Linked DNA regions of Macaca mulatta. Each later gene encodes a partner of the first gene's protein in a complex. Links are inferred from orthologs where the notes say so. Each region holds a gene or a part of one and is shown on either strand. Other genes may lie near its edges. The genes, in order: CRNKL1 and CWC27.

Region 1 (3,820 bases):
TCAGATGAATGCATAAACTATCTTTATGGTTATGACATGAAAAGTTACTGTAGAATGTTACCTTAATTACATTTTCTAATGCATGATGTGGACAGACGCTAGAAAAGTTTGGACTCAGTTGGAAAAAGAAATCCAGCAGTTAAAAAAGTCCTTTACTTGCAATCCCCACCCCTAGCTAACCCAAGAGCATTTAAAAAATAACTTAAAAAGTAGCTATCAAAGATACCAATCAGTTTCTTACTGGTGAAATATGTAAGAACTTCCAGGAGTCACAAGAGTTCCAAACAATTAATTTATAAAAATAACAAAACATTTGTCAATATGAAAAAAAGATCAGGATTCACTCTCATCGACGTCCTCATCTGGATGGTGCTCAGCATCCTCCTTTTCCTGCTGCTGTTTCTTCCACAGTTTGGCCATGGCCAGGAGTTTGAGGTTAGGCTGGTTGGCAGCATCTTCTGGAAAGATGTAATCAAAGTATTCTTCCCAGCCTGCATCAGACTACAGAAATAAAACAATGAAAAGATAAGCAAACGTGGGTGATACACTCCTCCATTTTACAAAACAACATCAAAGTCTACTACAGAAAGAACAAGGGCTGGGTCTGAAAGACTGGGAGTGAGTAAGCAGCAACTGTAGCTCAGTGAGAACTAAAATGGTAGAAAAAAATTCTAAACATCTAAGCATAGCTCTTCTACAGCCAACCAAGATGTTCAGTGTCTCCAACTACATTGTGCAGTCTTAGGTTTAAGAAAATGTTTAACGATTTTTACATAATATTCATCCAGTAGCAAAAGTCATACATCTGTGCATTATTATTCCAACTCCCTACCCTCCCATCCTCACCTCTTATCAGTCACTGATTTCACCTTCCAAATACTGTTCTAACAGGCCCTGTGGCCCTGTTCTAGTTCCAGCTTCCATGTCTTGCTCAGCTTATAAAAACTGCTTCCTGATGGGTCTTCTTTCTCCAGTCTAAGCCCCTTGAGTCTACCAGTATGAGATGCCAGATGCCAGCAATCTGGTCACGTCATTTTATGCAAAACAGCCTTCACTGACTCCCACCAAACTCCTTCTTATCGCCTACAAGCCTTCCCTGGATAGGCTGCTATCTGAAAGTTCGCTTCAGTCTTCCTCCACGCTGACTTCCTATTTAATGCTCTAAAAATATCACACTTCATGAAGTTCCCAGACTCAACCGTCATCAAAACACCTTTGCCAACCCCTTCTCATTCTCCACCTCTGACTGGACCATATGCTCTACCCCGTGTTTCCATAACAGCCAGATTGCAACCATCTCCTACTCCAGGTGGTCTGCTTCCCTTCTAAGATTGTACATATGCCACTTAAAAGTCTACATTTCAAAGTCAGATGTGTTTCTACTCATGTTACGTGAGATGAACAGTCCCAGGGCAGAGATCTTACCCCATCGTCCGTCTGGACCTTTCTTCTCTTCTTGACTTTCTCTGGCATGAGTTTGTCTACTCTCTCCTTATCTGAAGCTGTTCCAAATTCCTCTTCAAAACTTCGCCAAGATTCCAGCAGCATAAGTCTCTCTTCCTTTTCTTCACAGTTTCGCATGGTTTTGTTAGCTTCTTCATAAATTTGTCTGCATTTAGCCAAACTTCCTTCTTTTCCTGAAGACAACTCAAACTGAGCAAAGCTGATCCATACCTTTAAAAAAAGTTATTATTGAACCAAATTAACCATGTCACTCAGAAGACACTAATGTAGTAATAATAAAGCGAATTCCCAGTTAATGACATCAGAAAGATGTGTTCATTACTAGTGTTTCACAGATTAAAACAATGAATATATGCTTCAATACAAACACTGAAAATATGTCATTCTACATTCTACAGTTAAATGTCTGACATAGTTTTAAACTCTTGAAAAGAGTTTAACTTGGCTGGGTGCAGTGGCTCACGCCTGTAATTCCAGCACTTTGGGAGGCTGAGGCGGGCAGATCACAAGGTCAAGAGATTGAGACCATCCTGGCCAACAGGTGACCCCATCTCTACTAAAAATAGAAAAATTAGCTTGGGCGTGATGGCGCACACCTCTACTCCCAGCTACTCAGGAGGCTGAGGCAGGAGAATTGCTTGAACCCGGGAGGAGGAGGTTGCAGTAAGCCAAGATTGCGCCACTGCCTTCCAGCCTAGCGACAGAGTGAGACTGTCTCAAAAAAAAAAAAAAAAAAAGTTTAACTTTTTTTCAATCTTGTGATACCCAAGCTATTCACATGCAACATAAACAATGACCTGGTATAAACTTAACATTCGAAAGTCCTCTGAGACTCATGTTTCTCTTAAGAAGCAAGGAAGTCATTTAAAACAAAACAAAACAAAACAAAAAACAAAAAAACCCCACACACTTAAAATACAGAAATAGAGTATTTTCTTCAGGACTGCTGATTCAAGCAAAATGAAAGATCATCTACAAAGCAAAAGGATACCTTGACATGCTGCGTCCTTTGAAGCAACCGTCGGTAAAGGTTTCGTGTTCTTTCCGTTTCTTCCTGCTCAATTTCAAAATCAATATATGATTTCCAAAGCACCTAAGAAAGACAAGTAAATTGGTCAGTCTTGACATTTGCAAAGCAGCATGCCCCCAGCCAAAGCACAGCTTAAGTATCACTCTAACCTACATCTAGGAACATAAGAGTTTTACAGAACAACTAAAGAACACATGTGGATAAGACAAATAACATTGGTATCTATAAGCTGGCCAAAACTTGGCTAGAATTTCAGATTACAGAAAAAGGGCCTTGGATTCAGTCTTAGAGATTCTCTTTGGAAGTTTTTCAAATGGTTGACTTATCAAGAGCTGAGAAACTTGCCAAGCATCTCCCAGGTACTCTTTCATATTCCAGCTACATGCAGTTGAGCTTCCAGAGAGAAAATAGGCCCAGGTTAGCCAGTATGTATGTTCTTACCTCTACTGTACACTCCTTGTTATTATGAGAGTTCAATGCAACAAGCATTCACTGAACAGGTGAGCACTGGCTCGGTGCAGCCTGGCAGGGCATAAGGATGAATAAACCGTGGCCTGGACACCTGAGACCTGGCAGTCTGGTGGAGGAGCTGAGGACAACTGACAAACTCAGTGATACCCAAAGCTCTGCCTTAACGCAGTCAGGGGGCCAAACCATTAAATGCGGGGTCATGTCAGTGCATGAGATTAACAAAACAACTGGGTGAGTTCTACGGCTCCTGTGAGATTCAAATCGGTCCTAGCTGTGGTTTGGTGCTACCTTGTGGGTCAAGCTTAACTACTGAAGGCAGGCGACGACTTTCAGGACAGTGACAACAGTAGTGGCAAGGACATCCTGGTTTAGAGAATACAGGGATATGTGTTCCCACCTCCATCCCCCTTGTTCTCCAGGTGGGCCAGCCTGCTGGCTGCTTCTTTGCCTGGCATCTTCCCCAGCCCCTTTAGGCTTCCCTGTTGGAGAGGGGCATCACCCACCCCCACGATATCCCAATTCATCCTGGGCATCATCCTGGATGTCTACTGGTATCTAACAGGAGGGGTACTTCCCCTGTCCCCAACAGTCACCTTTCCACATACAAGCCTAATCTGAGCAGAAGAGACTAAGTTAGCTAGATCATCTTTATACTCTAAAATACACCCACATTTAGACGGTCATCTAAAGTAAGACTAAACAAGTATCTTAAAATGGTATTTGACTTGAGATGCTCACCTCTGGCATGTCTAAACGTGGCTGACTGATGGCTAATTCATAGATTGCCCGTGCTCTGTCAATATCACCAAGGATTGTCTCTAATTCAGCAAATTTAATCCACGAGGTACAATTTTC
Region 2 (3,820 bases), on another chromosome or scaffold:
AGTTGCTCTTCTCGAGGAGTATCTTTGTGGCGTTCTCTGTATTTCCTGGATTTGAATGTTGGCCTGCCCTACTAGGTTGGGGAAGTTCTCCTGGATGATATCCTGAAGTGTTTTCCAACTTGGTTCCATTTTCCCCCTCACTTTCAGGCACCCCAATCAGACCTAGATTTGGTCTTTTTAAATAATCCCATACTTCTTGCAGGCTTTGCTCATTTCTTTTTCTTCTTTTTTCTTTTGGTTTCTCTTCTCGCTTCATTTCATTCATTTGATCCTCAATCGCTGATACTCTTTCTTCCAGTTGATCGAGTCGGTTACTGAAGCTTGTGCATTTGTCACGTATTTCTCGTGTCATGGTTTTCATCTCTTTCATTTCGTTTAGGACCTTCTCTGCATTAATTACTCTAGCCATCAATTCTTCCACTTTTTTTTCAAGATTTTTAGTTTCTTTGCGCTGGGTACGTAATTCCTCCTTTAGCTCTGAGAAATTTGATGGACTGAAGCCTTCTTCTCTCATCTCGTCAAAGTCATTCTCCGTCCAGCTTTGATCCGTTGCTGGCGATGAGCTGCGCTCCTTTGCCGGGGGAGATGCGCTCTTATTTTTTGAATTTCCAGCTTTTCTGCCCTGCTTTTTCCCCATCTTTGTGGTTTTATCTGCCTCTGGTCTTTGATGATGGTGATGTACTGATGGGGTTTTGGTGTAGGTGTCCTTCCTGTTTGATAGTTTTCCTTCTAACAGTCAGGACGCTCAGCTGTAGGTCTGTTGGAGATTGCTTGAGGTCCACTCCAGACCCTGTTTGCCTGGGTATCAGCAGCAGAGGCTGCAGAAGATAGAATATTTCTGAACAGCGAGTGTACCTGTCTGATTCTTGCTTTGGAAGCTTCCTCTCAGGGGTGTACTCCTCCCTGTGAGGTGTGGGATGTCAGACTGCCCCTAGTGGGGGATGTCTCCCAGTTAGGCTACTCAGGTGTCAGGGACCCACTTGAGCAGGGAGTCTGTCCCTTCTCAGATCTCAACCTCCGTGTTGGGAGATCCACTGCTCTCTTCAAACCTGTCAGACAGAGTCGTTTGTGTCTGCAGAGGTGTCTGCTGCGTTTGTTTACTGTGCCCTGTTCCCAGAGGTGGAGTCTACAGAGACAGGCAGGTTTCCTTGAGCTGCTGTGAGCTCCACCCAGTTCCAGCTTCCCAGCAGCTTTGTTTACCTACTTAAGCCTCAGCAATGGCGGGCGCCCCTCCCCCAGCCTCACTGCTGCCTTGCTGGTAGATCACAGACTGCTGCGCTAGCAATGAGGGAGGCTCCGTGGGTGTGGGACCCTCCCGGCCAGGTGTGGGATATGATCTCCTGGTGTGCCTGTTTGCTTAAAGCGCAGTATTGGGGTGGGAGTTACCCGATTTTCCAGGTGTTGTGTGTCTCAGTTCCCCTGGCTAGGAAAAGGGACTCCCTTCCCCCTTGCGCTTCCCAGGTGAGGCAATACCTCGCCCTGCTTCAGCTCTCACTGGTCGGGCTGCAGCAGCTGACCAGCACCGATCGTCCGGCACTCCCCAGTGAGATGAACCCAGTACCTCAGTTGAAAATGCAGAAATCACCGGTCTTCTGTGTCGCTCGCGCTGGGAGTTGGAGACTGGAGCTGCTCCTATTCGGCCATCTTGCTCCGCCCCCCAAGAAACTAAACTTTAAACTACTAAATGTTATTACCTAAATGTAAAATCAAAATCCGAAAATGTAAAATCAATACTGGCTAAGTGGCACATTATTAGCTCATACCATTACTATGGTTTTAAAGAAGAAATACACTAAAGTCACAACTAATGAGTGAATTGAAAGATGCAAAAAAGAATTTAGCTGCTCCCTCATAGTGCACTATAATAGGAATATATTCCATCATTTTTGTAAAGAATAAACATATCCTATGGAATGTTTTGATGAAGGTAACTCTTAGATAAGTTAATCATATGTATCTTAGAAGCCTAAGGAATAACATAAAACCAAAAACTGAACCACAGGTTTAAAATCACTGGACACTAACCTTTCCAAAGATGGTATGCTTATTGTTAAGTTCATCCGCTCGACCCAGTGTGAAGAAAAACTGGCTGCCATTATCATGAGAACCAGCATTTGCCATGGCAACCAGGCCTCTCCGATTAAAACGCAACCGTGAATGAAATTCATCCTGAAATGTAAAAAAGATCTAGTGAATGTCCTCAGTTATAAGACCCGTCATATGCAGTTATTCAACTTGACCCGCAAGGTCCCGTACAACTTCTAATAAAAAATGCAGACATTTTGCTTAATTGATTTTTGAGCACTTACTATTCTTTCAATGTTATTAAACTTGAATTCACTAGACTGTATTTTCTAAATATACTCATACAGAAATATACCCTATTTTGTGGAAAGCTGCTTAGTTATACCCAAAGGAAGAGTACCCAAGGGGGAATGGATTTCTAAATTATTTCCCTACTCTCATCCCAAAGTCAGCTAAGCTTTTGAAATCTTCTCTTACTTCTCCCAGAACACTACCTTTGAGCCATTGCAGAGTCTTCAATTATTACTCTTTCCCATCTCATTCTAAATGTCATTAAACAATTGCTTTCTTCTTGTTTTTTAATTCAAATAATCTACTATTATTGTGTCATGTAATTTTACCATGTCTTTTTAAAGTCCTAAGTTGAATCTTCTCTGAAATGGCACTGATTCTATTTGCCAGTTTTCAAAAGAGCAGGAACAAGTCTTTCTAAGGTGGTTTTCTCACCACGATAGGGCTACTTAACAAATATATTAGTCTCTTAGTTAACAGAATTTCCTTCCAACCTGATATTGAAGTCATTTATAAATGTAGCCATGTTATATCATAAATGCTTTTCACAAAGGGAGATTTTTTCCTTAATAAATAATTCTCAAGAGATCTGAACTCAATGGATCACAACTCTGTATACTGTATTCAAAATGACCTAATTGAAAAATGTAACAAGATAACTGTATTACCTGAAAATAATGAAGCAAAAATCTCAAGTTAGGAAGGAATTGTCAAAAACAACTATTCTGTTACACTAAATAAAAGAATAAAAGAATGTTTCCGACTAGACGAAGTACCTAAAATCATGAGAAGTCTTACTATGGTAAAATATAAAACAGTCTAAAAGTGATATCTGAGACTTTTAAAGTAACTATTCCAAATTTCTAAAGCCATTATCATCTGGAAATTAAAGCAAACAGTTCAAATATTTTCTTCAAGAATGACACAATGACTTGGTAAAAGATGAAAGGAAAATGCAGACAATCTATTCCATTAGTATAAAAATGAATTTTTCAAAAACTCCCATATTTTAAGAGATACTGTTTACTCATTCAAAGAACATGATATTGGTGCCATCAAATTAATAACAAACACAATTTTTAGCTTTTACTTGAACTTGCTATTGTTCTTAATATCTTCACTATGACATTAACTCTTTTTCTTCTTAGATCTATGTTGGCAGATAAGAAATCACTGACCTATTCTTGATTAATGCATCTTTTACAGACAATTTATTTATTTATTTTTTTTTTTGAGACAGAGTCTCACTTGGTCGCCCAGGCTAGAGCGCACTGGTGCGATCTCAGCTCACTGCAACCTCCACCTCCCAGGTTCAGGCAATTCTCCTGCCTCAGCCTCTTGAGTAGCTGGGATTACAGGTGTGTGCCACCATGCCTGGCTACTTTTTGTAATTTTAGTAGAGACGGGGTTTCACCATTGGCCAGGCTGGTCTCAAACTCTTGACCTCAAATGATCCGCCCCCCTTGGCTTCCCAAAGTGCTGGAATTACAGGCATGAGCTACTG

Evidence for each region.
Region 2: CRNKL1 (region 1) and CWC27 share a complex: the UniProt entries of both Homo sapiens proteins name them as parts of the minor spliceosome. The link is inferred for Macaca mulatta from reciprocal best matches to the Homo sapiens genes CRNKL1 and CWC27.

The regions. Positions count from the first base shown.
Region 1 is NC_133415.1:63,986,199-63,990,018, reverse strand, and holds part of CRNKL1 (crooked neck-like protein 1), read right to left. Parts: coding exon 3,704-3,820; intron 2,558-3,703; coding exon 2,456-2,557; intron 1,675-2,455; coding exon 1,426-1,674; intron 502-1,425; coding exon 334-501; 3' UTR 1-333. UniProt on the Homo sapiens protein: Involved in pre-mRNA splicing process. As a component of the minor spliceosome, involved in the splicing of U12-type introns in pre-mRNAs.
Region 2 is NC_133411.1:72,828,079-72,831,898, reverse strand, and holds part of CWC27 (spliceosome-associated protein CWC27 homolog), read right to left. Parts: intron 2,170-3,820; coding exon 2,026-2,169; intron 1-2,025. UniProt on the Homo sapiens protein: As part of the spliceosome, plays a role in pre-mRNA splicing. Probable inactive PPIase with no peptidyl-prolyl cis-trans isomerase activity. As a component of the minor spliceosome, involved in the splicing of U12-type introns in pre-mRNAs.